Linked DNA regions of Elephas maximus indicus. The protein of the gene in region 2 interacts with the protein of the main gene of each other region in a biochemical or structural test. Links are inferred from orthologs where the notes say so. Each region holds a gene or a part of one and is shown on either strand. Other genes may lie near its edges. The genes, in order: RNF146, TNKS, TNKS1BP1 and AXIN1.

Region 1 (7,515 bases), on a different chromosome or scaffold from region 2:
GGGAGGTCTGATCTTGCCATGCCCTCACTCTCTTGACTCGATTCACAGAGAAAAACAAACAGGTTTTAGATAAAACTTACTAACTTTCCAGAGCCTCCAAACCAAAACCAAACCTGTTGCCATCGAGTTGATTCCAACTCATATCGACCCTAAAGGACAGAGTAGAATTGCCCCATAGGGTTTCCAAGGAGCACCTGGTAGATTTAAACTGCTAATCTTCCAGTTAGTAGCTCTAGCTTTTAATCACTATGCCACCAGGGTTTCCGCCAGAGCCTCAGATGGAGGAATATTAGAACTTTTGACAAAAATTGAACAATAAGCAAAAGTTCCCCCAAAAGGAAAAGACAAAACAACACAAATGCAAAGCTCATTTTTTCAAAGTGTCCACTAAAATTCTAAATTGTTTTTAGTATATTTATAGTGTTTTTAAATATGACCCCTAAACCAGTGTCTCAGTAGTGGGGGAAATTCAGGCTCATTTATCAAAAATGTCAAGCTCTAACGTTCAAGCTTTTGGTTCTTTTTTTTTTTTTGACTCAATTCATTTTGTTGACTAGAGACCTAGTCTCTTATTTTAGACCTTAAATTACCTAAAAGGTTTTGGAAATTAGTTTCTTTAATTGGCAAGTATTTTAAAGTAGCTACTGATGACTTTAACATTGTGATTTTTTATTGAGAAACTATATCATAAAACAGGTCTGAACTACTACTTCTCTCTGAGAATTTGGCAAAACAGAACTGTTACCCAGGTTTTCTCTAGTACTCTAGCCTATCTCACACCACGTTATCCTGTCACAGGAGTCTTTAACGCTTGTGATGAGTGCTGGTGACCACCCTAATGGCTTTTGCTGGTTGACCTGTGCCCAAAATTTGCAGCTTATAGTGAGTGACCCAGAGCTCTTTGGAAATAGAATTGTCTCTTTAATGTTTCATATGCCTGAATCCAGACACAAAACTGCAGTTCACCAAATGAGTTACTGAACATCATTCTTAACCAAATGATCAAGCAAAAAACCTAAGAAAGATTCTCCTTAATCAAACAACTGGCTCTCAAAACAAATGTGCCAAACAAAGCTTAAAAAAACATGAAAAAGAGAACAAAAAGAATAAGTGAAGACTCTTTTTCGAGGGCACTCCCCCTGTCAGTGTCAAAGGGACATAGAGTGCGAACACGTGGGTCCAAGAGATAGGACCTCTTTTTCTTTTTTGCTGGCTTCTGCTCCACAGTCCAGGTCTCCTTGAGGTTGACTGGATTCATGGTTTTAGAATCCCTGCAACAACTACACCATTAACTCTTGTAGGGTGAGGACACCACAAAGTTTAGTAAAGCAAAAAGAAAGGTTTTATTCAGAGTATATTTAAAGAGGCAAAAGTAGGAAAGGGACAAGCAAAGGGAAATGCTGCCAGGGCCATGTCTGTCCAAGTCTCTGTTCCCAGTTCTTAAGGATGCATCTTAGCAGGCCACATTCTGGGATCTTTGAACATTCCCCATTCTTTGGATATACACACTTAAGACTCACACAACCTAATCCAGTGCACCAACTTAACAGGTACCTGAGCCTTTTATGCCCTCGGCGGTCAATTCCTCAAACTTCTTGGGACTCTTCTAAGGCCTTACTAGGAATTACCTGGTTATTTACTAAATAAGTTCAGATTCCTAATGCCTTCAATGGTCAATTTCCCCCGCTTCTTGGGACTCTTCTAAGGCCTTACCTTGAACCAAAAACCAAACTCGCTGCTGTCCAGTCAATTCCGACTCATCTTGCCTAAAAAAAAAAGCCTAGGTACTTATAAAACAACTCAGGTGCATTTCATGTCTTCCACAGAGCCATCTTTTGGGTCCCAGGTGGACTGGCCTTCAGAGCTGCCCCAAAGTCTACAGAAGAAATCTCCTGGTGGTGCCAGACACTGGGGTGGTATGTTGTCTGATTCACCTCAAGAACGGAACAGATGGCTCCTGGCTGGCTCATCAGAAATGTTACTGGGTGGAAAACCCAGGTTCTTGCTCGGCATGACTCGTATCGGCCAATAAACAAGAGACTGCTGTGGGAGTACAGAAAAGGCACCTTTATTGTATAAAGAAAAGTCAGAGCTGCTGCTGCCAAGACTGCTCGCCAAGGGAGGCCAGGCAAGTTACTTTTAAGGGGTTTGCAAGTAGGGAGTTCACATAAGTTATGTCAGCAACGTTCTTAATCATACTATGCAGACACAATGGGGTTTACATATAGTCTCCAAGCAAAAGCAGGATTCCAATGCAAAGCTGAGGGAGAGGAAGCCCAGCAAAAGAAACAGGATTTTTAATGCAACACTGTGGGGAAGGAAGCCAAGCAAAGAAGGCAGGATTTTTAACACAGCACTGTGGGGGCTCTGTCTCATAAGGGCATGGGTGAGAAGAGGCTGCCCTGATTGAAGAACTGTACCCTGAATTGTAACCTATTACTTCCCTGATAGAGCCCATATTTGTGAGCATTGTCTGTGAGTTTTTGCAATGAATTATTGAGCTCAGCAGGGAAGTAGAGTGTCATAGAAGGGACGGTTGGTGTTAGAATTGGTAAAAAGATTGGAGAGAGGAGGCATGTCTGACCTCCACCTCAGAGCAAACAGTCTTGGGCTGTTGATGTTGATTATGATTCTTCTTCCCCCTTGTGAAGTTAGAGGAGGTCAGATGCCCCCGCCACACCATTTTTACAAAACCACTTAAAACAAAGCCTGGCACACTGTAAGTTAATATTACTATTATGTCTTTAAGCTTAAATCTATAAGCTATATATTGGATTTTTTTGCTATTATCTGTTCACAGGTTGTGTAGGATAAAAAAAAAAGTGTAGGATAGAGGAGTAAAATTGAATGGCTAAGGAAAGAATGAAGATATGAAACTAAACTTCCAGGTGGAGGACCTACATGTTCATATTCTACACTTATAAGAAAAAGAGTACTTCTTAATGAGTAAACATCAAAGGAATAGATAGAACTCTTGAAGAGACTGATTACATATTGATGAATATGAATTCAGAGAAATAAAAGATAATGTACACAGATCTATAGATACAAGTGAGACAGAACCCTCACAGTGTTGCATTAAAAACCCTGTTTCCTTTGCTGGCTCCTCCCCCACAGGCTTTGCATTTGAATTCTGCTTTTGCTTGGAGCTTATCTGTAAACCCTATTGTGCCGGGGTAGTATGATTAAGAATGTTGCTGACATAACTTACATGAACTCCCTACTTGTAAACTCCTTAAAAATAACTTGCCTGCTCACCCTCGGGCAGTAGGCTTGGCAGCAAGGGCTCTGACTGACTACTTTTATTTGTACAACAAAATAAAGGTGTCTTTCCTGTTCTCCCACCAAGGCCAATACGAGTTATCCTGAACAAGAACCTGGGGTTTCCACTAGGTAACACAAAAAAACAAAAAAAACACAAGGACACTGAAAATTTCCAAGCCTGAAAAAAATAATGAAACCTCAAAATGCAATACTACTGCCATGGAATGTTGAAATATGTACTGTTACTATACAAAGCATTCCCTTCCACACTCCGCATTTTCTACAAATTAAAACAATTTAGTCAGTTATGAAAAAAAGTAAAGCACATGCTAAAATAAAATGCATAATACTGCCAAGTTTTTTTATGTTTAAAATTACACACACGCTACAAAAAAAAAAAAACACCCAATTTTTAAATTATAGCTCTGCATGGTAATTAAAGAGCCCTGGTTATACAGTTGTTAAGTCCTCAGCTTCTAACAGAGGCCAGCAGTTCGAACCCACCACCTGATCCTCTGGAGAAAATCCTGGCAGTCACCGTCCAGAGGTTTACAGCCTTGGAAACCCCATGTGGTAGTCTTACTCTGTCCTACAGGGTCCCTATGACTCAGAATTGACTTGAGGGCCGTGGGTTTGGTTTTGGTATGCTGATTAATCTCTTTCTCCAGCTTCCTGTGTTCTTTTCTGTTGGGAAAAACGAGTCCAAACAGAAAGTAAGATCCATTTTTTTTTCCCCTAATTAAACTGCTCAACTATTCTGAGGGTGAATTCGAACATCTTAAGGACTCTTTTTTTTTCTCGAAAGAGACCAAACAGAAGAGCACTTTTATCAAGAGCTCTTCACACCGAAAGCCAGCCAGCTAGCTAGCTGCGCAAGGACTTCTTCCGGATGGCCCAGTCGGGTTCCTGAGCAGCACCACCTGCTGGTCCTATATACGTCCCACCTGGTCCACCCAAAATCTCCCTCTCCCTTTCAGAGCCTCCTGGACCTAAGCATAAGTAAAACAATATATAAAGATATTTATAAAACAATATATAAACCGAAATTGCAGGTAGTCTGAGGAAGGAGAAGGACGGCACCCAACAAACGCTTCGGCTACGGTAGGAAACCAGCGAAGCGGGGACGGCCCGGCAGGGACTCCTGCGCAAGCTCCCGGCTGTGCAGCGCTCCTTCCGCCCCGCGCAGACCCGCCCCGCCCCGCCAGCGCGGGGCCCCGCCCCTAGGACGCGCCGGGAGGTCACGTGACATCCGCGCGCGTCCCCGGCCGCTGCGGGCTCGGAGGCCGAAGAGGAAAGACTGCGAAGTGTCCGCTGCGGTGGCCAAGAGGTGGGGGTCGGGGCCAAGCCTTCCTGGGGGGCAGGAGGGAGGCTAGCCCTGCCAGAGAATCCTGTCTCGGGGAGAGGAGGGCTACCCGCGGTGTCACCGCCGGTCGCGACTCGCTACGTGTCTGTCCTGCGCTCGGGGCCTGAGAGGGGCGGCGGCGGGGTCAGGACCGGTACGTAGATCGACGCCCTTGGGCCGGCGTGGCCCCGGCTGTCCGCGCGGAGGCGGGATGGGAGAGTTCAACCCTTCCCGCCGCCTCCGCCGTGACTGTTGTCGCAGCAGGAAGACTCACGGCCTCAGTGGTGCTCGCGGCCGCTGCAGCCCCTGCCCCGAGCGACGGCTCGGAGCTGTTCTAGGTCGGGGTGCGAGAAGCAGAGCAGCGGCCATTACTGCGCAGCCTCTTCCGCCGGTCCGCATCGCGGCCTTTGGTGGTGGCCGGGTACCTTCTCATCCCTCTCGGCGGTAGTGTCAGGCCTCTGTCTGGAAGATCTTGTCCTTAGAGCTTAGGTGAGGCGGTGGTTTGGGGGTTACCTGCTCCCTGTTTCTCGTGAGGAGTCAAACACCTTGGGCCTTGTGTCATATCGAGGCCTGGGTGTACAGTCCCCGCATTTGAATGTATTTTGTCTTTTTCGAGTGCCTTTGCTGTCTTTTTCTCTTCCCTCTCTTCCTCCTCCTGCCCACTGTCCCGGTCTTGCCTGAACCCGGATGGATATGAAGACAGCCGTTCGTCCACCCGAGCCACCGCTGCATATTCTTAGATCTTTGTTTTGACTGTTATTAAACATCGGAAAAATTGAGAGATCTCTCAGGGTACCGTTTGAGCCTACAAACATAAGTGCATCCTAAAAGCGCAGAGTGTTGCTTTGTTCTTCTGGTTGCTGGGTGTGGAGTTCTATCCCTACCCCCCACCCCGTCTGAAAGAGTACAGGTCTTCCTCCATTGTTGTCGCTATTTTATTTTCTGAAGGCTTCTCCAGGAAGGTTGCGAAATGTTTGGACAGTGTAGAGATGGAACAGTTCTTTCCACAGGTAAAATCTACAGGATTGTAAGTTTATGCACACATTCTGGCAACTGGATTTTTTTCCCCTTCAGTTATCAATGAGAGGTTTTATTTTTTTTCACTAAGTGTCATTTTAGTGAGCACTTGCTGCTCAGGTTTTGAAAATACGCACATTTTGTTAGGTAACATTTTTCTAATATTAGTATGGAACTGAGGAGAAGATAACTAATAGATGATAGAAAACACTTTGTATGATTGACATTTTAGGTGTTGAAATGGGGTGTAAAGTGTAACACTGGGCATTGAAAGTAGTATATAATTACAGAAATTAGAGACTTAAGACTGTTTTTAGTAAGTGAATCTGTATTTAGACTTTTAAAAGACATGGCATGTAGAAGACATAAAGAAAATAACCCACACAAATAACACAGGATTTATAAAGTTAGGTTTGTTGTTTTTATGACCAGCAAATATTGTTTGTAGTGAGTGGCTGGGTGTTCTAAAAACACATGAAAATAGGTCAAGTAAATGACATTTTAAAGAGAAAACCGGAAGAGTGAATACCACTCTAAAAATAGATTTTGGTGTGTTTGTTTTGTCATTGTATATTGTATTGTGGAGCACTTTTTTAAGCCCTTTTGATTTAGAATTGATGTTTCAAATGGACCAGTGTAAGTTGTGGGCAAAATGGAAATAATGATACTTAAACATTTTGAAAGTTTTTGTTGTTCGATGGGTGGTAAGAACTTAGTAGAATTATAATCATCAGGTAAGCTGTTTCTCTCAATAGCTAGTCGTTAGACAAAAGGAAGGGAAAAAAAAAGTGATTTTTCTTTCTGCAGACATTTATCGACTAGTGAAGTGTTTTGTTTCAGTTTCCACAGCTTGAATCGTTGGAAGAAAGGGGCAGACTTTTTGAAAGGACCCAAAAATGATTTCTTGACTTTGAAGAAAAAGATAAAATTAAATTTTTTCTTTGTTTCATATCATTCATCTGTTTAAAGAATAAATGTGTTAGCCATATACTCACATGAAACGCCTGACATATTGTCAGGAATTTGAAAGCTTTTTTCGACAATATTAGCAATAGATTGCTGAGCCTTTTCCACTTTTGCTAGTTTCTGTTTGTGACTAAAGAACCTGAATTGGTGAATCAGGCTAAGTTAGGAACAATTTTTGTGAGTATAGAAGCCATCTTACTAACACTGGGCTATATCTGTACTTATTTATGGATTGTGTTTAGTGTTTGTGGCATATTACCTTTTTGGTTAATTATAGCAAAACCTGTTGTTAAATGCCTGTTAATTAGAACATTTTGAGTTACAGAATTATAGAGTAGGGTGAAACAACTAAGACATGGAGGATTATGACTTGACCAAGGTCACACAGATAATTAGTGGCAAAGCCTTTTTATTTACAAAATGGTTGCAGGCTGTGGCACTTCTGTGCTTGGTATGATTAAAAGACAATATTTGTTGACATTCAGATGTCATGTTTTATTAAGATAAAATTCAAGGCCCACGTTTTATTTGGGGAAAATTTTAACTTTTAATGCTTGAATATGAAGATTGTGAAGGTAGTAGATTTCCATATAGTAATTTTTCTTAAGAGAAATAATATATATATGTGGGAAATAATTCTTTAAAATAAGAGTAGTGTGAAGTGTTAGACTCCTTTTAGCTAAAATGAGTTTTGACTGAATACTTGTTGCCAAGTATGGCCACCGTATTGTGTAAGCTAATTTTTAATAGGAGATAATAGTAAAAGCGAAAAGTGGAAACATTAGGGCATTTAGTTACATCTGTCAATTTGGAACTCTTAAGATGTAAGAAGTACAGCCAGAATGTTCCTTAGAAGCAAGAATGCGAGACTTGGTCTCATGTATTTACCAGAAGGGACTAGTCCCTGGAGAAAGGACATCATGCTT
Region 2 (7,848 bases):
CTCTAGTGCTGCTATAACAGAAATACCACAAGTGGATGGCTTTAACAAAGAGAAATTTATTTCCTCACAGTAAAGTAGGCTAAAAGTCCAAATTCGGGGTGTCAGCTCTAGGAGTCGGCTTTCTCTCTCTGTCGGCTCTGAAGGAAGATTCCTTGTTCTCAAACTTCCCCTGGTGGAAGAGCTTCTCAGGTGCAGGGACCCCAGGTCCAAAGGACGCACTCTGCTACCGGTACTGCTCTCTTGGTGGTATGAGGTCCCCAACTCTCTGCTTGCTTCTCTTTCCTTTTATCTCTTAAGGGAAAAGAGGTGGTGAAGGCTACACCCCAGGGAAGCTCCCTTTACTTTGGGTAAGGGAGGTGACCTGAGTAAGGGTGGTGTTACAATCCCGCCCTAATCCTCTTAACATAAAATTACAATCACAGAACTGAGGACAACCACATCATACTGGGAATCATGGCCTAACCATGTTGATACACACATTTTGGGGGGGACATAACTCAATCCATGACAAAGAGGAAGAGAGGCTCAGCTAAAAAAGAATTCACAAGAATGGAACTTAGTCATAATCAGTTTAGTCAAGCTTAGGGTGAGAATAAAAGTAGAGATAATAAAATAGGAAAAAAATCATTATTTCAATACTTAGCATTTGCTGAACTATTTTTATTGCAATTTTATAGAGGAGAAACAGATAAAAAACCAAACCCATTGTGCAATGCCTGTCACATAAACCAAAAACCAAGCCCGTTGCCGTCGAGTCAATTCCAACACTTAGCAACCCCTTAGGGCAGAGTATAACTGCCCCATAGCATTTCCAAGGAGCGTCTGGTGGATTCAAACTGCTGAACTTTTGGTTAGGAGCCGAGCTCTTAACCACTGAGCCGCCAGGGCTCCAGAAACTGATACAGAGTGGTAAAATTACTTGTCCCAATTTTTAAAGCTTATAAATGGCTTAGTTTGCATTCCAGTTCTGATCTGAGCCACAATTTAAAAACGTAGGATTAGCAAAGTATTTAGAGTGATAAATTTATGCTGCAAAATGAAATTTTTTGTGTATCTCAGTGACACACCCCCCACATGTCTGTCAGTTTGTTGTACTGGGGGGGTTTGTGTGTTGCTATGATGCTGGAAGCTATGCCACTGGTATTCAGATACCAGCAGGGTCACCCATGGAGGACAGGTTTCAGCTGAGCTTCCAGACTAAGACAGACAAGGAAGAAGGACTCAGCAGTCTATTTCTGAAAAGCATTAGCTAGTGAAAACCTTACAAATAGCAGTGGAACATTGTCTGATATAGGGCTGGAAGATGAGCCCCCCAGGTTGGAAAGCACTCAAAGGATGACTGGGAAAGAGCTGCCTCCTCAAAGTAGAGTCGACCTTAATGACGTGGATGGAATAAAGCTTTCGGGACCTTCATTTGCTGATGTGGCACAACTCAAAATGAGAAGAAACAGCTGCAAACATCCATTAATAATCAGAACCTGGAATGTACAAAGTATGAATCTAGGAAAATTGGAAATCATCAGAAATGAAATGGAACACATTAACATCGATATCCTAGGCATTAGTGAGCTGAAATGGACTGGCATTGGCCATTTTGAATCAGACATTCATATAGTCTACTATGCTGGGAATGACAACTCGAAGAGGAATGCTGTTGCATTCATCATCAAAAACAACGTTTCAAAATCTATCCTGAAGTGCAACACTGTCAGTGATAGGATAATATCCATAGGCCTACAAGGAAGACCAGTTAATGCGACTATTATTCAAATTTATGCACCAACCACTAGGGCCAAAGATGAAGAAATAGAATATTTTTATCAGCTGCTGCAGTCTGAAATTGATCGAACATGAATTCAGGATGCATTGATAATTACTGATGATTGGAATGCAAAAGTTAGAAACAAAGAAGAAGGATCAGTAGCTGGAAAATATGGCCTTGATGATAGAAACAATGCCGGAGATCGAATGATAAAATTTTGCAAGACCAACAACTTCTTCATTGCAAATACTTTCTTTCACCAACATAAAAGGCAACTATACACATGGACCTCGCCAGATAGAACACACAGAAATCAAACTGACTACATCTGTGGAAAGAGACGATGGAAAAGCTCAATATCATCAGTCAGAACAAGGCCAGGGGCTGACTGTGGAACAGACCATCAATTGCTCATATGCAAGTTCAAGCTGAAACTGAAGAAAATCAGAGCAAGCCCATGAGAGACAAAATAGGACCTTGAGTATATCCCACCTGAATTAGCGACCTTCTCAAGAATAGATTTGACACATTGAACACTAGTGATCACAGACCAGACGAGTTGTGGAATGACATCAAGGACATCATCCATGAAGAAAGCAAGAGGTCACTGAAAAGACAGGAAAGAAAGAAAAGACCAAGATGGATGTCAGAGGAGACTCTGAAACTTGCTTTTGAGGGTTGAGCAGCTAAAGCAAAAGGAAGAATTGATGAAGTAAAAGAACTGAACAGAAGATTTCAAAGGGCCTCTCGAGAAAAGTGAAGTATTATCATGACATGTGCAAAGAGCTGGAGATGGAAAACCAAAAGGGAAGAACACGCTCAGCATTTTTCAAGCTGAAAGAATTGAAGAAAAAATTCAAGCCTTGAGTTGCAGTAGTGAAGGATTCCATGGGGAAAATATTAAACGACGCAGGAAGCATCAAAAGAAGATGGAAGGAATACACAGACTCATTATACCAAAAAGAATTAGTCAATTTTTAACCATTTCAAGAGGTGGCATATGATCAGGAACCGATGGTACTGAAGGAAGAAGTCCAAGCTGCTCTGAAGGCACTGGTGAAAAACAAGGCTCCAGGAATTGATGGAATATCAATTGAGATATTTCAACAAACAGATGCAACGCTGGAGGTGCTCACTCGTCTATGCCAAGAAATATGGAAGACAGCTTCCTGGCCAACTGACTGGAAGAGATCCATATTTATGCCTATTCCCAAGAAAGGTGATTCAACCAAATGTGGAAATTATAGAACAATATCATTAATATCACATGCAAGCAAAATTTTGCTGAAGATCGTTCAAAAACGGCTGCAGCAGTAAATCGACAGGGAACTGCCAGAAATTCAGGCCGGTTTCAGAAGAGGGTGTGGAACCAGGGATATCATTCCTGATGTCAGATAGATCCTGGCTGAAAGCAGAGAATACCAGAAGGATGTTTACCTGTGTTTTATTGACTACACAGAGGTATTTGACTGTGTGGATCATAACAAACTATGGATAACACTGCGAAGAATGGGAATTCCAGAACACTTAATTGTGCTCATGAGGAACCTTTACATAGATCAAGAGGCAGTTATTTGGACGGAACAAGGGGATACTGATTGGTTTAAAGTCAGGAAAGGTGCACGTCAGGGTTGTATTCTTTCACCATACCCATTTAATCTGTATGCTGAAGAAATAAAACGAGAAGCTGGACTATATGGAGAAGAATGGGGCATCAGGATTGGAGGAAGACTCATTAACAACTTGCGTTATGCAGATGACACAACCTTGCTTGCTGAAAGTGAAGAGGACTTGAAGCACTTACTAATGAAGATCAAAGACCACAGCCTTCAGTATGGATTACACTTTAACATAAAGAAAACAAAAATCCTCACAACTGGACCAATGAGCAACATCATGATCAACGGAGAAAAGATTGAAGTTGTCAAGGATTTCGTTTTACTTGGATCCACAACCAACAGCCATGGAAGCAGCAGTCAAGAAATAAAAAGACGCATTGTATTGGGCAAATCTGCTGCAAAACACCTCTTCAAAGTGTTGAAGAGCAAAGATGTCATCCTGAAGACTCAGGTGTGCCTGACCCAAGCCATGGTATTTTCAATCGCATCCTATGTATGTGAAAGCTGGACAATGAATAAGGAAGACCGAAGAAGAATTGACGCCTTTGAGTTGTGGTATTGGAGAAGAATATTGAATATACCATGGACTGCCAAAAGAACAAACAAATCTGTCTTGGAAGAAGTGCGGCCAGAATGCTCCTTAGAAGCAAGGATGGCGAGACTGCGTCTTACCTACTTTGGACATGTTGTCAGGAGGGATCAGTCCCTGGAGAAGGACATCATGCTTGGCAGAGTACAGGGTCAGTGGAAAAGAGGAAGACCCTCAAGGAGGTGGATTGACACAGTGGCTGCAACAATGAGCTCGAGCATAACAACGATTGTAGGGATGGCGCAGGACCGGGCAGTGTTTCGTTCTGTTGTGCGTAGGGTCGCTATGAGTCAGAACCGACTTGACGGCTCATAACTACAACAACAATGACATACAGAGATCAAAAGGGAATACTGAGAGAGAAAAGACAGCATTTTTAAAATGACCAATGGGCTAATTATAGTTATGTTTTATTGAGGCCTCTGTGTATGTTAGCTCATTTAATCGTGCTAATAATTCTGTGAGACAAGTATTATTCCATTTTTCCTTTTCCAGACAAAAAGGCTGATAGATGACAAACGACACATTCTCTGTTTGCTTTGAGTGAGTTACACCTTAAGAGCTGGGTCTGTAGCATGAAAAGGAAGACTGAAGGAGACTTGGCAACGTACAGAGCACAGCAAGGCAAACTGAGTGAGAAACGCAGGAAGTTTCCCAGGTAGGAAGTGGCCGGCTCCAACATTCAAATCTCCCCAGCCGGCCCGCCAAGACGTCACAAAGCCCGCCCCTCAGCCACGAGACCACGCCCCCTTCCGTAGCCATTCTCTGAGCTCCCAATACATCCCGCCTTCTCTTCCACCCCGCCTACCCCGCGCGGCATCATTTCCTGTGCGCTGAGTGCTGATTGGTTCAGCGGTCGGAAGTGAGGGCGGGCGGTGAGGCCGTTGCCGCAGTGACAGTGCTGGGGGAGTCCGAAGATGGCGGCGTCGCGTCGCTCTCAGCATCATCACCACCATCATCAACAACAGCTCCAGCCCGCCCCAGGGGCTTCAGCGCCGCCGCCGCCACCTCCCCCCCCACTCAGCCCCGGCCTGGCCCCGGGGGCCACCCCAGCCTCCCCCACGGCCAGCGGCCTGGCCCCCTTCGCCTCCCCGCGGCACGGCCTAGCACTGCCGGAGGGGGATGGCAGTCGGGATCCGCCCGACAGGCCCCGATCTCCGGACCCGGTTGACAGTACTAGCTGTTGCAGTACCACCAGCGCAATCTGTACCGTCGCCGCCGCTCCCGTGGTCCCGGTGGTTTCTGCTTCATCTGCCGTCGGGGTCGCTCCCAACCCATCCGGCGGTGGCGGTAACAACTCACCGTCGTCCTCTTCTTCCCCGACTTCCTCATCATCCTCTCCATCCTCTCCTGGATCGAGCTTGGCGGAGAGCCCCGAGGCTGCCGGCGTTGGCACCACAACGACATTGGGGCCTGGGACGGCGGGACCTGGGCCGGGGGTCGCCGCAGTGAGCGGGGCCCTACGGGAGCTGCTGGAGGCCTGTCGCAATGGGGACGTGTCCAGGGTAAAGAGGCTGGTGGACGCCGCAAACGTGAATGCTAAGGACATGGCCGGGCGGAAGTCTTCTCCCCTGCACTTCGCTGCAGGTCAGAGGTTTTAAATTGTTTATTAAGAGTTTGGGGCTTGGAGGCGGGGGTCTGGGTACGAAAAGAAAACTGATTTAAGTTGATGGGACAAAATGGAGCGTGGTATAGTTCTTCAGCACTTCACCTGAAGACAAGACTCCTTTCTTTAGGTAGTGCCCAGGTGACGGGGGCGTGGTAAGGGGCTGTGTGAATCCATAGTTTAGTGTTTGCACAGTGCTACTTGTACTCATACTCCGTAGTGGTAGTCTCTGGATATAGGTATGCTCGAACTTTTCAGTTCTGAATGTGTAGGAATAAAGTTAGATTTGGGCAACCTTAGAGTAATTTTCTTTTGTTTGCTTGATCATTTCGTTTTTACAACGACGATATGCCCACGAGAGCAGGTCTAGACCAGAAGAAGGTTAATGTGGTTCAACGAGTGTTTAAGCATCAGTTATGGTTTCAGTAAGCCAGTGGAAAACACAAATAAAGTTTGTGAAACTCTTCTTTTTCTCAAGAAGTGTACAGTGTAGTTGGGGAGATCAAAATATTCCTGTATGAAGCAACTGGAGAAGAATATTTGGATGCATTATGTCATGAAAGTAGAAATACATAATAAGTTCTCAAAAAAAAAAAGCTAATTCTTAAGCCCTGGATTCCACGCTTTATTCTTCACCTTTTTTTTTTTAAAGCATACAGCTGAGTATATTCTTTTAAAAACACTTAGTGTCTTAAAAAAATGGAGAAATAAAAAAAGCAAAGGACCATAACCTCACTGTCCCCATACCTACTATTGGTATTTAAAAAAGATAAAAGTAATAATTTTATATGCATGACACACTTTACATTAGAAGTGTATACATTATATATAATACAAAATTTCAAATAGGACAGAAAGATAGGAAGTGAAAAGTTAAAGCACCACACGCCCTCGCATGTCAGACATGCCACACTAAAGCTATCTGTGGTTAAGTTTCTTCCCGGGTTTCTGTTTGTCACTCCTTCCACTTGTTAGTGATAAAATAAGGAACCCTGGCGGTGCAGTGGTCAAAGCAATCAACTACTAACAGAAAGGTTGGCAGTTTGAAACCACCAGCTGCTCTGCAGAAGAAAGATGTGGCAGTCGGCTTCTGTAGAAATTTACCGCCTTGGAAACCCTGTGGGGTCACCATGAGTCGTAATCGACTCGATGACGGGGATTTTGGTAATGAAATGTATGTTAAGAACTTACTATATGTGTTATTTATTTTTACATCCAGTCAGAAAATAACTGTTATCCTCATTTTACAGATGATAAATACGAGGTACTTACTGTTTAAACAAGCCCAGGTTCACACAGTAAATGGTAGAACTGGATTTGAACTCAGGCAGTTTGATTTTAGAGCTTGTGAAATCAAACTTAAACTATCATAACTTAACACCTGGGTTAAGGATACTTTAAAGTTTTGTGAGTCACTGTGGTGCAGAGTTCTGCTTTGGTAACATTTTGGGAGAAGTAGTAATCAGGGGGCATACATTGCAAGAGTAGCTTTAACACTTTTTTACTGTACCCTATACTTAGAAATATATAAAATATAGGGTTGCTATGAGTCGGAAACGACTCGACGGCACTGGGTATACTTAGAAATATATTTTATACTGTGACATATACATACACAACTGAATCAAAAGTTGCAGGAAACAGTACTTTCTCTTACTGTGCGTGGTGTACACTGATATTTCATTTTTCACAGATTCTGTTTGTGACCCACTCATATAGCAGCTTGAGAAACACGTTTACAGAAAATCACTATGACGTTAGTGGATCCATTCTTGACGTATAGACACTACTATTAGGGATGTAGTGAACTGAATCCTAAACAGGCTTCCATCCAACTAGATATTTACTCAAGGATGTTGCTTATTTTACATAAAATACCCGTTGCCATTGAGTCAATTCCGACTGATATCAACCCTATAGGACAGAGTAGAACTGCCCCAGAGGGTTTCTAGGGAGTGGCTGGTGGATTTGAACTGCTGACCTTTTGGTTAGCAGCAGAGCTCTTTAACCACTACGCCACTAGGACTCCTTACATGAAATAGTATTTCTTTTTCTTTAAGTTAAATAAAAGATCTAAGTGTTTTATAACTCAACCTAGGTTGTTTACTTTTGCGTAATTTGTTGTAAATTGCTATTTTAAAACATGTTTTACACATCTTGCAGTTTGTTATCATACCTCTTTTGAAGTAATCACTAACAAATGACAGCTACTTAGAATTATACCCTTTTCTCGCTTATCCACATAGTTAGGTTCCAAAGACCAGGTCGTTAT
Region 3 (7,332 bases), on a different chromosome or scaffold from region 2:
GAAGAGGAACTAGCCAGTACTCCCCCCAGCTCAGAGGACTCGGCATCAGGATCCGATGAGTAGACAGGAGGAAATTGTCTCTCCCTGCTTGCCCAGTTATACCCCCAAGGCTCCCCACCCATGTTTTGGTACCAGTTTCTCCTCCCATGAGAGGTAGCCCTGGATTCTGGGCCATCTGTCCAAGCTTTCCTGCGGGTATGCACTTCACCGGAGTGGCTGAGGAGGCGTCTTCCTCTGCTGCTTCACAAGACGGCTCTCTAATTTGGGGAGAAATTGGTTGGGAGGCAGGGCAGTGCAGGATCGAGACCCTTTGTCCTGCTTCTCCAGCCTTGAGGATACGCTGTTGCTTGACCTGTTCAAGTTGCCGCAGCACGGGGTCAAGTGAGGCCAGGCCTGTAGCTCCTAATGGGCGCCAATTTCTACTTTTATTTTGTATTTCTGGTCTGCGAAAATCAACATTTAATAAAGGGAACTGACTTTGGAAACCACGTCCTTGTGCCTTCTCTGTAGCCCTGTCGGATGGCGCCCGTTTTTCCCAGTGTTGTCTACTGTATCGCCCTGGCCCAGCTTCTCAGCTGGGAAGCAATCTTCAGGTACATCCTGTTCTGTTTCCAGCTGGACAAGCATTGGTTTTCACGCTCTTCTGCCGGGACGGGCCACCTGAGAGTGTAGAAATGAGAGCTGATCTGATTAGGAAGTCTCTCTCACAGTTCCACTCCATTAGCCTGGCTAAGAGGAGGCAGCCTCTGGCTCCATCCTTAATCACCTATGAGTCAAGGGTCTTCAAAGGCTTTAGGTAATTGAATCAGGCTTTAGGTAATTGAATTGACCAGTTTCCCTGCAACCAGGAGAGTAGAAACCTGAGCCTGGAGAGTTGGGGAAGATGAGTAGGGTGTGTGTCTGTGCGTGTGCGCGCGTACACGTCTAATAGGGCACAGAAAAAATATGATGGAGTATGTAAACCTTTTGTTCTTAAGGGAGAGGATACTAAATTTGGGGGTTGGGAAGGAGCGATATTTGGGAAGGTAGCGTAGCAGAGGATAAGCAAAGAAAGGAAAGCAGGGCTGCCACCGTATTCCTCCCGGTGGCTCTAAATCTGAATTTACACACGTGGGGTGGCCACGTTGCGTACGTGCTCAGGAGGACTCCGGGGGTGGCAACAGGAAGCCTCTCCGGTCCGCCAACGGCTACCTTCTTTCTTGCCGTGACTCTATGGTGCTGCCATCAGTACAGGCCCTTGGGCTCGCGTATCGGGTCGCCCTAAGGCAGCCTCCACTCTAGGCGGTCGTCTCGGTGGCCATCTTGCCCGAGCATTCCAAACTCCCGAATTGCGTCAGTTTCGCCGGGTCCGAGCTGAGGCGGGCCCCTCATTTGCAAGACTCATGAATAATTGAGTACCAGGGCGGCGCTGTTTGCATTTGGTCGGGCGAGTTCCGTCAGGGCTTCCCACTCCCGGGGTTGCATCGGTTTATGAATGTTCATGAGGTGCTCTGGGGGCGTGGTCATGGGCGGAGCTAGGGGCGGGGCCCCGCCGGTGCTCGCTCTGGCTCGGTCCCGCGGTGACGGCGGCAGCGGCGGCGGCGGCGGTGGGGACTGGCGTCGGGGCGCCTAGCCGAGCGGAGCCACATCCCCGGGGAGCGCGTGAGTGAGCGGGGGCGGGCGGTAGGGCGAGGGAGGGGGCGGGGTCCGGGATGGGGCAGGGGAGGGGCATAGGAGAGGTGGGCGCTTTGCTGCTGGGACCTCTGGGTGAGGTGGGGCGGGGGTCTCAGGGAAAGTTTTCAGGGGCCGGGGGCCGCGAGCTAACAGGGGAGCTGACGCGTGGCCGCGGGGGCGAAGGGTGCACAGTCTGCATCTCGTGCTGCAGGAGCCAGAAGAAAGGGGGGAGGGGGCGAGGGCCTGGGGCGGGCCGAGGTGCTGGGTGACCCCTTCCTCCCTCCTCTCCTCCGGCCCCTCGGCACGCCCCCAGCCACCCCAGGCCGCCCCCACCCGGTCCGCGTCCTCAGTCCTCCATCTGTTCTCCGGCTGCTTCGCATCCCGCGCACAGGTCCTCCGCTTTGCTTTCTGCTCCTCCTCCTCCTCCTCCTCCTCAGCTGCCGCCGCCCCCTCTGTGTCCAGAGCTCCCCACTGGGCCCCTCCAGACGGCCCCTCGCCCCGGGCTGTTCCGCCTTCCGGTTGGCCCTCCCTCCTCCAGCAGTTCGCATGCCGTCCCTGCTGACCTCTCTGGCCCCAGATTCGGCCAGAGATCCCAGGGTCCAGAGGGACCATCCCATCTGCGCCGAGTCGCCTCAAGGCCCCTGCCCTGGGCTCGAGCTTCCCAGCCCCTCCCCAGCCCTTCTGGCGGCCTTTTTTGCCAGGGATCAGTCAGCTCGGCTCCCCGGGACCCCTGGGGGTAGGGAGTGGTCGGGAGCCGCTCCGATTCTGCAGCTTCTGGTCACGGTCTGGTCACCTGGAGCTCCTGGCTGGGGCCTCTGAGCTGCTGTGGCCCCCTCCCCAATTGGGGAATCCATGTTCTCACGTTCATGACTGCTTTCATGGTGCAGCCTCTCAGACCCCAGAGGTCCACATCAGGCCCCCAGGTGAAAGGGTTTTTCGGTTCTGGGCCAGTTTGTCTCCATTTCTATCTAACCACCCACACCATGTCCCTTGTAATAATGTTCAAGGACAAGTAAACGATCTCGTGTTTCTTAATTTAATTTTTTCTGTCCTGTGGCTCCTCCCCCATGCACACTTGGACAGGGACCTGCTCAGTTATTCTCCCACCCAGTGGGCAGCCCTGGGTGGTTCTCGACTAACTGGTTGACCAGTTGATAGCCCTGGGCTTCTTTCTACCCTTCACACATCCTCTCTTATGTTTGAAACAGTGGGGCAGGGGCACAGGTAAGTGGGATAGGTTTTGCAATGGTTGGGCACCAGAGCCCCCTTCTTAGGGTTTGGTGCTGTCTTTTCTCAGACCAGCTGGAGTGTATGTGGGAGGTGGTGCCCCTTGCATATCGGAAAGGGTTGGGTTGCTGCCTTCATGTGCTTTGTGAGCACTAAGTGCGTAGGAAACATTCCTCTTACTTTTGACCTCAAGGGGCAGGGCTCTATCTCCCAGGCTGGAGTGCCTGGGGGGTCTTGTGGGTGGGATGGTGCTCCAGGAGCCAGGATGGGAACTGAGGAGGTGGTGGAGTATCTGAGCTACAGGTGACATGACTGCGGTGTGTGGAAGTGAAAGAATGGGAATGCTGAGAGCCTGGGGTCCAGGGAGATGAGGAAGTGGTTACCTGAGATGCTCGCTCATTGGTGAGACTGTGAATGGAATAATAGTAATAATAGCTAATGTTTATTGGACACTTAATGATGTGCTAGGCATTGTGCTAAGCAGTTTGCATGCATAAAAGGAGCCTTGGTGGCACAGTGGTTAAGCTGCTAACCAAAAGATCAAAAGTTCGAACCCACCAGCTGCTCTACAGGAGAAAGTTGTGGCAGTCTGCTTCCGTAAAGATTACAGCCTTGGAAACCCTATGGAGCGCTTCTACTCTGTCCTATAGGGTCACTATGAGTTGGAATCGACTCGACGGCAATGGTTAATGGGTACCTCACTTAAGCCCCCCAACAGCCACGATAGCCCCATTTTTTAGATAGGGAAACCGAGGATTAGAGAAGTGAGCCATGTGCACAAGGTCACATAGCTACAAAGTGGTAGACCCATCCAGCATTTGAATCGTGGTTCTCTCAGACCCAAAGCACCTGTTATAGATATGGAAGAGGGATACCTATTTGGATTCTACCATGGACTGTGTTTCTTGTTTTAATTTTTTCCTCACCCCCCTCAAAATCCCATCATGCTATCTCTAGGCTGGTGAGTGATGCCCACTTATCTCCCTTTTTCATAGGCTGTGGCTGTTTCAACCTGGGTGTCCTAGAAGGGGGAACCCCAGGGAGTTTTCCCCCAAGCCACTCCACCCCCCGGATGTTCTCAAGCCCTGTCCCATTCTCCCAGCCCAGGCCTGGGCCGGCTCCTCCTTCCTCTTGGCAAGGCTCTGGAAATCCAGTGGGAGGCCATTGCTATGGCAACAGGACTAGGCCTTGGCTTTACCTCATCAAATTCTAAGCTGAAGCCAAAGCGATTGAGAAATTAAAGAAAAAAATATATTCCAGATGTTTACTTTTTATTCCTTATTTTTCCGTGTTTGGATTAGACGGCTCTGAGGGAGGCGGGAGAGGGGCAGGGATGTGGAAGGGGGGTGGCAGGGGGAGAGGGAACCACTCCCAGCTGGAGGAGGGAGGGAGAGAAGGAGGGTGAGCGGGAAGGGGGAGGCAGGCAGTGGGGCGGAGCCCCAGGTTGGGGAGGAGCGGGTTTTTCCCGTCTCCCATGAGGTGATTCACTGGGAGACTTCAGACTTTTTGGCCCTCCTTGTTTTACCTCGAGTAGGTAACTCCAGCGGGGCTGCTGGACCCAAGGGGTGCCTTGGGAACGGTAAGTGGGGTGACTTGGAGAGCTTGCCAGAAGAGGGAGCAGTGGGTGGCTCCCTGAAGGTCCAGGACTCTGGGGTCGGGAGGAAAGAGTTGGTTGGAGGGTGAGCTGGGAAGAGGAGAGGACTTGGCAGCTGGAGTCCTCCCTTGACCTCCCCCAGCCTCCTTCGGAAGTTCCCTCTTCCTGTCCCACTCTCTGCCTTGTGCTAGGAGACTTCCCTTGGCTGAGCCTACTGCCAACGCCCAACTTTTTTTTCCTTCTCTTCCTTTTTCTCTTTTCCTGGGTCTTCAGCTGCCCCAGCTCATGCCCCTCTGCTCCCTGAATCTCACGCAGGGTCTGCCGCATGTGATGAAAGTTTCAACTCTCAGGGAAGGCACAGCCATGGCTTCCCCACCGCCCCGGGAGATGGAGGAGGAGCTGGTGCTCACTGGCTCTGAGCCAGGTACCCATGGGTGCAGGGTGGGGCGGGTAGCTGAGGAGGAGGGTTGGAGGGGCAGAGACTACACCCCCATTCTGTTTTTGTGGAGGTGGGCCAGGAATGGTTCTGTTGAGGTGGGAGTGAGGACGTCCAGATGAGTTTGTAAAGGTCTCAGCCCCTTCGGAAGAGGCTGTTGAGACCATCTGGGGCTGTTTGAGATGCATAGAGCCCCCAGCAGGTAAGAGCAGACAGGGCTCTTCAAGATGATGTGATCAATCAAGCCTCATGTATTATCGAGGGGAAACTGAGGCCCAGAAGGGAGAGATGGGGTTTGAACCCAGGCCTCCTAGCTCTCTGTCTAGACTGCTTTCTTACACTGAGCTGAATGGGGATCATACCGGATTCTATTAGAAGGGAGGTGGCCATGAGTAATTCCAAGGTCTTTCTTTGGCATTGGAATGCCTTATATAGAAGGCAGTTTTCTGGTCTTGTTTTTTTGCTGTAGCAGATTGACTTCTGTTTGGCTTAGGTCAATAGTAAATTTGCATTCCTGATCTTACCAGATGACAGTGGGGAGGTGGCCTGGGAGTATACTGGGGGCGGGGGCAGCAGGGAGGCAGGGCCCGGAAGCCCAGCTGGGCTTAAGAGTTTTGTCATGGGCGATAGTAGAGTATCGATAAAAGAGTATCCCAGAATACAAGGGGGAGGACTAGATAGGGGGATGGTTGGCCACATGGCTTGATATGGGTGGTCAGGCATTTATTTATGGACACTTTTGCCTGTTCATTCATTCATTCATTCATTTTTTCTTTCTTTTGATAAGACCTTGTGTTAGGTACCAAACAGGGTACCAGCTGGGCCCTTAAATAGCAGTAACTTATACGGGGGAAATGCCTAAACATTTTAGAAGTTTGGAGACGGGAGAAGATGCTCTTAGGATGCATGTGGGAAATCAAGGAAGGCTTCGTGGAAGAGGTGGCATTTGAATTGTGCCTAGAAGGATGTGAACATTCTGAGATGGGAGGGTGGGAGATGAGGTGGAACAGGAAACACAAGAAGTTCTGCTTCCTCGCTGTTCTGACAGCTGCCCCCCAACCATTTTGTTCTGATAGGTGACTCTCGGGCCAAACCCCCTGTCAAGCCCAAGCCCCGGGCCCTTCCCACCAAGCCAGCCCTGCCTGCCAAGCCCAGCCTACTGGTGCCTGTAGGGCCTCGGCCCCCCCGGGGCCCTCTGGCTGAGCTGCCTTCTGCCCGGAAGATGAACATGCTGGCGGGACCCCAGCCCTATGGTGGCAGCAAACGTCCCCTCCCCTTTGCACCAAGGCCTACTGCTGATGCCCCTGATGGAGGAGAATCCACTCGAGGGACTGGGAAGGAGGAGGCTGGCAAAGAGGAGGTGCCCCCCTTGACCCCTCCAGCGAGATGTGCTGCCCTGGGCGGCGTTCGGAAGGCCCCGGCCCCATTCCGTCCAGCCTCAGAGCGCTTCGCAGCCACCACCGTGGAAGAGATCCTGGCCAAGATGGAACAGCCTCGGAAGGAGGTTCCTGCCAGCCCTGACCGCCTCTGGGGCTCCCGCCTCACCTTCAACCACGATGGCAGCTCACGTTATGGCCCTAGGACCTACGGCGTTGTCACCAGCCCCAGGGCTGAGGATGGCGGGACCGTTTCCAGGGGATGGTCCCAGGAGGGGCCCCTGAAGTCTCCAAAGGAGAGCCAGGAAGAGCATAGCAAGACCCCTGAGGAGAGGTGAGGGTGGGGAGGTCATATGTTTTGTTGTACCTGGAGGCCGGGGGTACTGAGGATGCCGTGGGTGGCTCCCTGGGGCCGCAAGCTTCACCTCTAGGCAAGTTGTGTGCTCTGAGTGCAGGTACACCCTGGTCTAAGTGTCACAGATGTACTCCTCCAGCAACATACTACTGGGACCATGCTTACAGAGCTGCTGCATGTTTACTGTAGAGAGCTCAAATGTCTAACATAGAAATTTACTTTTAGTTTCTATACACTGAGAGCTGGGCACTTAAGATAGGTATTTTCCAAACTTGTCCCCTTTAATCCACAACCATCTGTTGGGTGAAAGGAACTTAGACCCATTTTGTAGAGGGGGAGACTGAGGATCAAAAAACGATTTCCCACATTCCCTCAGCAAGTAAGAGGCAGAGCTGGCATTTGCATTCGGGTCTGTTTGATTCTGAAGCCTGTACTGTGGGCGGAGCAGTGTGCCAGGCCTGAGGTGGGAGGGGCAGCAGGATGAGCAGGTACAGTCTCTGCCAGAGGAGGAGTCTGATGGGAGAGTTAAGACTGCACATACCAGAGAGTGTGAACACACAGGTTATGGCTGGACTGGAGACTGTTGCATTAAGTACACTTCTTCAGAGCAGGCCAGCAGGCGCCCCTTGGGGTCATGGGCACTGGGCAATGGAAGAAAAGGCTCAGGGATCTCAGGATCCCTCAGCTGCAT
Region 4 (7,031 bases), on a different chromosome or scaffold from region 2:
GAGGTGAGATACTCTCTGAATGCGGCTGGTGCCAGGTCATGGGAACAGAAACCACCTCAGCTGCAGGGTAACGTCAGGCGGCGGGTCACACACAAAACTGTCACCGGCCAGCAGGGGCTGGAGTGGGGATTTGTGAGATTTTGGGGACTAGGATCCCCGGGGAGTTGTCTGCCTGAAGTGCTATAGGCTCTGGGGTTGGCAGGAGAATGGGATCAGCCTTGACAGTGATCCAAACACCAGCCAGGAGGACTGACCTGCCCATCAGGCATGAAGGGCAAGACAAGCTGAGCACAGGAGAAAAAGGAGCAGGAGCAGGTATTGGTGCAGTTCAGGGCCAACGTGGGCTTGGCAACCACAGCAGATGCATCTCTCAGGAAGGTCACCTGCCACTCCTGCAGGCACTTTCTCCCTGGTCACAGGCCCGGAGCCCACAGCCCAGCCCAACGCCCCACTCGTCCTGCCCTGCAGGGTCCCACCTTTGCCGCACCTCCCTGTATGGTTAATTGACACCATCAACCATTGACAGAAAGATGTCACTCCTTGCGTTTCCATCTGATCAATGCTCCGGGGTGGCCTTTTTTTTTTTTTTTTCATCTTTTGGCCTTTATATATACATTTTCTATTTTCACAGAAACAGGGAGACTGTGTGTGTGGTTTAAAAAAAAATCATTTATTGAGATAAAATATGTATATTATAAAATTTACCATTTTAACCATATTTAAAGTGTACAATTCAGTGGCATTAGTTACATTCACAGTGTTGTGCAACCATCGCCTCTATTTGCAGACATTCTCATTACCCCAAAAGGAAGCCCTGTACTCATTAGCAGGCACTCCCCATTCCCCCTCCCCCTAGCCCCTGGCAACCACTAACCTGCTTTCTGTTTCTATGGGTTTGCCTATTTTGGATGTTTCATATAAATGGAGTCATGTAATACGTGGCCTTTGTGATTGGCTTTTGTTTAACCTCATGTTTTCCAGGTTCATCCACATCGTAGCATGTGTCAGGGTCCATTTCTTTTTATAGCTGCATAATATTCCATACTTTGTCTATGCATTCATCTGTTGGTGGACAGTTGGGCTGTTTGTGCGCAGTTTTGTAGGTTTTCTCCTTGATGTTATATATCATGAGCACTTATCTGCAGTGGGTAGGGGCATAACAGATGACACTCCTCCCTCCCCCTCTGCTGAGCTTAGAATTGATGGAAAAAAAGAGGCTCAGGGACAGAGAGATGGAGTCCAGAGGCTTGTGGCCAGGGCTGTGCCGCCAATGGGAAGCCAATTCCCCACTCTGTTAACTGGATGGCCCAGGCTTCTGTCTTCCTTCAGGGCACCCCCTGTGGCACACACACACCTGTGACTCCAGCATATGCGGGGGTGGAGAGACCAGAGGGGCCTATGGAGAACCCACTCCCCTCCGTGGAAACCAAGGGGCACGGGCAGTACGGTTCCCTTAGACCGGCCATTGACTGTGGCCATCCGTCTATGCAGCTGCCCTTCTCCTGGATGCTGGGCCGCACCCAGTTCCAAGGATTGTCCATCTTGCATGACGGACTCCACACCAATCTTGGTTGCCCCAATGCCTCCCCCAGGTCACTTTTCTAAGTGTTCATCCACAGTTGATGGGGCGGACACCCTCAGGGCTTCGAGGTGTCCTTTATTTCAGAGTACCCCTTTTCCACCCAAGTTAGAAAACAGGTCATTTCTGCTCCTACATTTTTCATTTAGTCCTTGGTGAGCCTGAACAAGGCCATCTGTAGTTGATCAAATCTCCGTTAAAGCCTCTGGTGTCAAACTGCTCTCAGTGAAGGGGTGTTTATCTTTGAAAGGACCTTTGTTCTGAATGGAGAGCACTCTGTCCCCACACCTCTGGCCTGTTCTCAGCTCAGGGTGGCTGGCCCAGGGCCCCTGCCCAGGTCACCCTGCTTAGTCGAGAACACCTTCCTCTGCCTCTCTCTCCACAGCCTTCCTCACCATCTCTCTGGTCTGGCCCCTGGTGGGGGCATCTTCTGAGCTCACCCCCTCTGGCCAATGCTAGGTAGTCTGCTCTCCCCACCCTCATGACCATCATCCTCTTAGCAGGGGCCGCTGCCTCCCCCAAGGCTTTCTGACCCCCTTCTTGTCCCTGCAGGCTGGAGGCCCCCAGGAGTGGGAGGCCCAAGGGCCCTGTTCTGGTCCCAGGGCCTGGGGAAACCCTCTGCCTTGGGCCAGGAGGAAGATGGGCATGGACACAGCCCCCAGAGCCTGGCCTGGCCATTGTGGCAGCTCTGCAGATCGAAGGCAAGCTCTGGGGCCCTTGTCTGGGAGTGGACAGGGCCAGTGTCTGGGATGGCCTGCTGTCTGTCCAGCCCACCCAGGGCTGCCTCCCACCATGAGACTCTGCTACAGCATGAAAGCAGCCACTCTGTCTCCTCCAAGGTTCTGAGGCTGCACCAGGCAGGGGATGGTGCACAAGGGTCTCCTGTGCCCAGCACTCTGAGCCTGTGTCTGTCCAGTGTTGGCTCAGCAGTACAGCCCCTGCCCTTACTGCCCTGAGGCATGACGATGGCCCCAGAAGGTGGCCTGGGCCCTTGATGGGCTGGGAACCCTTCCTTAGTGCCCCTCCTTCCATACCACTCACCCCAGGCAAGCATCACAGGGGGCAACTGGGCAGGAGGTTGACTAGGGGCTCCAGGGGCTCCATGCCAGGACTTCTGCCCTTGCCGGAAGCCGTGAAGAATAAGGGGGGTGGACAGCTGAGGTTGAGCAGTGTCCAGAAGACGAGGTGACTGAACAGGCGGTCTGGGCCGCCTGGGTGAGCGGCATGGGTGAAAGCATGGGGGTGGGCAAATAACCAGACACATTGAGGAGTGGGTGGTGTGGGGGAGATGCCACTGGGTGAGCCCTAGGGGGCTTTAGAGCAGGGGCAGCCCAGATGACAGCTGTTGGGGAAGTTTGGGTGTTGAGGAGTCCTGGTCCAGGTGGTGACAGGTCCCTAAATGGCCCAGGCTGTAAAATGGGGGTACAGCTTCCCCTGGGGGTTGCTGGGAGCATCCAGAGAGGTGCTAGGCCTGATACCGGCTCTGAGAAGGGGTGGGGCACGGCCGTGATTCCTGGGGATCAGAGACTCCTGGTGGCCACATCCTTCTCTTGGAGAGGTGCTGACAGTGGACTGCGGCCTGGGCAAGGGGCTGGACGTCACTAGGAAGTTCAGCCCCCAGCCACCGGGCCTGCCGGCTAACTTGGGACCCCTACTTCCCCAGTGGGTGGGTAGGCTGAGGGGGGGTCTCCAGGGCCAGCAGGGCCTGAGGCTGCCAGTCCCACTGGTCACCCCGCCCACCCGGGCACGAGGTGGTGAAGCGCGAAGGGCGGTGGAAAGAGCGGCTGGGCATGGGCCGGGCCTGTGGGCGCCGACCTGAGGAATCCTAGGCACGTCGATCACCGGGGCTGCCTTCAGTCGTGTTGGCCGCAGAAAATCGTGGGCGATGCGGGGTACGCCCACATTCCCCTAGATCCAGAGCTCCCTCTCCAGGACCTGCCCCTCGCCGAGACTCCACCCCCCGCCCAAGGAGCAGTCCTGCGCTGTGGCTTTACCTTGCGCTCTCGGCCCCGCCTCCCCGTTTGAGGCCACACCCCCACGTTGTGGCACTACCCCCACGCTCTCGGGCCTATCCCCGCCCTCTGGCTCCGTCGCGCTCTCTTGGCCCCGCCCCCTCACTTCCGGGAGGCGCAGGCGGGGGTTCTCGGTCTTGGGCTTCGGCGCTTTGGGCTCGGGCTCCCAGCTCGGGGACGCGATCGCGGCTGCCACCACATCAGGAGCCGCCGGGGTCGGGCCAGAGTCGGGCCGCAGCCGCGTCCGCCGGGAGCGGACCGGTGAGAGCGGCGGCCGGACCTCGGCGGCACCCTAGCGCCGCGCCCTCCCCGTGCTGGCCGCGTCCGGGCCCCGCGTCCCGCGCTCCGCGCGGCCGCCGCCGCCGCCGCCGCCGCGGCCGCCGCCGCCGCCGCGATGGGGGCCGTTCCGGGCCGCGCCCCCGCCGGGTCCCGCCTGCCGCGCCGCAGCTGAGCGCATGGGCCGCGCCGCTCCGCGCCGGGAGCCGGGCCGGGGCCCCGCCGCCGCGGGCGGTGAGTAGGGCGGGCGGGCCGGGCCCATTGTAGGCCGCACTAGGCCGGCGGGCGTGCGAGGTGCGGGCCGCGGCGCGGGACCCGGAAGAGGGCTCCGAGGCGTGCAGGCCGGGGTGCGGAGGGGACGTGCAGGGGTGCGAGGGCTGAGCCGGGGACGTTTGGGCTCCGAGGGGATGCACGGGGTTCGAGGGCGTGCGGAGAAGCCTTGGGGGTTGAGAGGTATCCTGGGAAGATGTTGGGGTCCAGCCTGCCAGGCAGGGGATGGGAAGGCAAGGCCCTTGCCACAGAGACGTGTTAAGGGGGATGAGTGGGCTTGGTTCAGAAAGAGCAGGCCCTTGGTCTAGGTGTGTGGAAGAGAGTGAGGAAGACCCAGGATTCTGAGAGAGGGAGTGCTCTCAGGAGAAGGGTCGAGGTCTCAGCAGCTGGGTGTGTTTGCATGATGCAGGGTGGGTGCTGTTGTCCGTTGGCCTGGGGCAGGTTTCAGGGTGCAGGTGGGGTCAGAGTGGCTGCTGGGGCCAGAGGTCAGTGCAGGAGTTCTGGAGAGCGCAGCTGTGGAGTGCTGTTCTCCTTATCCCCCAGCAAAAGTAGGAGTAAGGGCGTCCAAAGCCTTGGCAGGCCCTCCCTTTCTGTGGCAGAGGTGCTGGGGCTCAGCTTGTCTGAGTACCCGCTTTTCCTGGCCTCCACACCCCCTGTTATCTTGCCTAAAACCGGGTCTCTCTTGTGGGTCTTCGTTTCTATCCCCACCCCACAATTTGGAATTCGACCCCCCCCCCCACGCACCCATGAAACCAGGGCTGCACAGCTGTGGCAGCAGAACTTTTTAACTCCTCAGGAGGTCAGTAGGGATGATAACATCAGTCCTCTGGGATTTTCCTGAGCCCATCCCTAAGTTAATTTATAAAGGGTCCTCATTGTGCACAGCGGCCCCTCCCTCTTGGCTCATCTGTATTCTTTGCATCTTTAGGCAGATCTCATGTTTACTTGGATCCACAGGCCGTGGTCTGGAGAAGCACATACGTCTACACCTGACCAACCAGAGATAGTCAGCAGTAGCTCAATTTCAATTTAAAGAAATTCTGTTCGGTACAAGGGTGGGAAAGCATGTAAATCATGGTGCTTCTGCTTGATTTTCAGCTGGTTCTGACCTTTCAGAAAGGCTGATCGTTAGAAATTCAGGTGTTGGGGGATGGATTGTATGTAAAGCAGTAGCCCTGACCATTCAAGAGTTTAATTAATGGACTATTGGGAAAATGTCAGAGTTATACTGTTACATCTGCTCTCCATCTAAATAAAAAGTTCGGAAGATAACGTTTGAGTAAAATCTATCATCTCATCTCTCTACCTACCTACCTACCTAGGCACAGGTGTAGTGGTTCGGTTACTTGAGGTGGAGGGTGCTGCCATGGTCCAGGGGTGTGCCCAAGCCAGGACCAGAAGAAATGTAAACAGTGTCAGGCTTATAGATCGCTTTTTACGGATTCACTTTATTGATGGTGGTTCCAGGCTGTGGGCCAGAGTTAGTGTTTGTGGCTACTTGGCGCAGACCTGAATTAATACAGCTGTTCTGTGTGTGGTGTGTATGTGTGCACACTGAATAGTACACCTGTGTCTTAGTTGGAGCCCAGGACTGAGACCACGAGAGCAGGTTTATGCTGTCAGTAGTTTGTCAGGGTGTCTCCGTGCTTCAGGGACACCAAAGATCTCCGTCAGTGGACGGCCAAAAATAGATGAGAATGTTGGGAAAAGTTTCTTTTAGCCTGTGAAACTAGTTTAGCATGATTAAGGTGGATTTGGTTCTCAGATGAATTGAAATGTCATTCTTGAAAGACACCTGCAACTTTGTGATGAAAGGTTAGATCTAACAGCCCCTTAAGAGCAGGGACAGTAACAGATGCGTAATTAAGTTCCCACTTAGAGTATTGTTTGGTAAGTGATTTTTTCATGTGTCTAGTGACCTGGTTCCTCCTCATGGTGTGTGCACTGCAAGGGTCCCAGGGGCGTGTCATGTTGGCATGTGCAGAGATACAGACACAGGAGGGATTGCTTGTGGCTGACAGGGCTGAGGGACAGCGACTTTTGTGGCAAAGTGGCCATGAGCGGCGGGACACCACAGCCAAGGGGCCTTGACCTTAACCAGCAGGCATTCCTGCTGAGGCCACTGTTGCAGCCTGCCCAGCAGTTTTCATGAAAAGTCACTCGCTGCAGAAATGTTTTCCAGTGTGTCTCGGGTCTGGCCCCAGGTGGAAGCAGGGCCCGGCAGCATGGGCCTTAGGCTTCAGAAGGCTGCCCTCTAGACTAGTCCTCGGGTTTCACTTTGCACACCCTGGCCTCTTTAGCACTCCGGAAAACCTGTGATCTCCAGCATTTGTATAGCTGGGACCTCTTAACCTGGTGGCTGATGCAGGGAGAGAGAGGGTGAGGTTAGCAGGAATGGTTGTGGGCTCCTTGAGGGTGTGGTGGGGGGCCCTGAGGACCAGGCAGAGAGTCAGTCTGTCTGAGCCTTGTGTCCAGGACGATCTGATCCTCATATCCATGCTGGCTTGGGCGACACCAGCAGCAAAACCCTTGAATCTATGACCTCTATGAGGGGAGGGGTGTTTCCTTCAGTTTACGGAATTCAGTCACATGAGCTCTGTGCTTCCTTGGCTAAAACGTGTGACTGGATTTGGATTTGATTTTTTCTTGTGCCTTCTTGGTTTCTTAAAGTACCTGACGGCCACCTGCTGTCAGATGCTTTCTCACACTGACGGTCAGGATGCCCTGTGCTTTTGCAGGTATCCTCCAGTCACTCAGCCCGTGACGTTGGAGGTGACCCCCAAGTCACGGCTTTTTTGTGTGAGTTGAGAGAGGAACACCTTACTGTGGGTTACACACTGCACGTTGTGCTGAGTGTGAAGGGGTGGTGGACAGAAAACATACCCGCTGTTGGC

What was found.
Region 1: the proteins of TNKS (region 2) and RNF146 form a complex in vitro, tested with the Homo sapiens proteins (3 studies listed by BioGRID and IntAct, with this or other methods). The link is inferred for Elephas maximus indicus from reciprocal best matches to the Homo sapiens genes TNKS and RNF146.
Region 3: the proteins of TNKS (region 2) and TNKS1BP1 form a complex in vitro, tested with the Homo sapiens proteins (2 studies listed by BioGRID). The link is inferred for Elephas maximus indicus from reciprocal best matches to the Homo sapiens genes TNKS and TNKS1BP1.
Region 4: the proteins of TNKS (region 2) and AXIN1 form a complex in vitro, tested with the Homo sapiens proteins (2 studies listed by BioGRID). The link is inferred for Elephas maximus indicus from reciprocal best matches to the Homo sapiens genes TNKS and AXIN1.

What each region holds. Positions count from the first base shown.
Region 1 is NC_064819.1:195,289,356-195,296,870, forward strand, and holds the start of RNF146 (E3 ubiquitin-protein ligase RNF146), read left to right. Parts: upstream 1-4,499; 5' UTR 4,500-4,591; intron 4,592-4,598; exon of another isoform or gene 4,599-4,760; intron 4,761-7,515. UniProt on the Homo sapiens protein: E3 ubiquitin-protein ligase that specifically binds poly-ADP-ribosylated (PARsylated) proteins and mediates their ubiquitination and subsequent degradation. May regulate many important biological processes, such as cell survival and DNA damage response.
Region 2 is NC_064840.1:71,012,940-71,020,787, reverse strand, and holds the start of TNKS (poly [ADP-ribose] polymerase tankyrase-1), read left to right. Parts: upstream 1-4,843; 5' UTR 4,844-4,887; coding exon 4,888-5,557; intron 5,558-7,848.
Region 3 is NC_064825.1:118,733,423-118,740,754, reverse strand, and holds the start of TNKS1BP1 (182 kDa tankyrase-1-binding protein), read left to right. Parts: upstream 1-4,324; 5' UTR 4,325-4,459; intron 4,460-4,747; 5' UTR 4,748-4,759; coding exon 4,760-4,898; intron 4,899-5,986; coding exon 5,987-6,620; intron 6,621-7,332. Other genes in the region: FACT complex subunit SSRP1, read left to right, coding at 1-63.
Region 4 is NC_064830.1:57,641,649-57,648,679, reverse strand, and holds the start of AXIN1 (axin-1), read left to right. Parts: upstream 1-4,017; 5' UTR 4,018-4,101; intron 4,102-4,193; exon of another isoform or gene 4,194-4,214; intron 4,215-7,031. UniProt on the Homo sapiens protein: Component of the beta-catenin destruction complex required for regulating CTNNB1 levels through phosphorylation and ubiquitination, and modulating Wnt-signaling.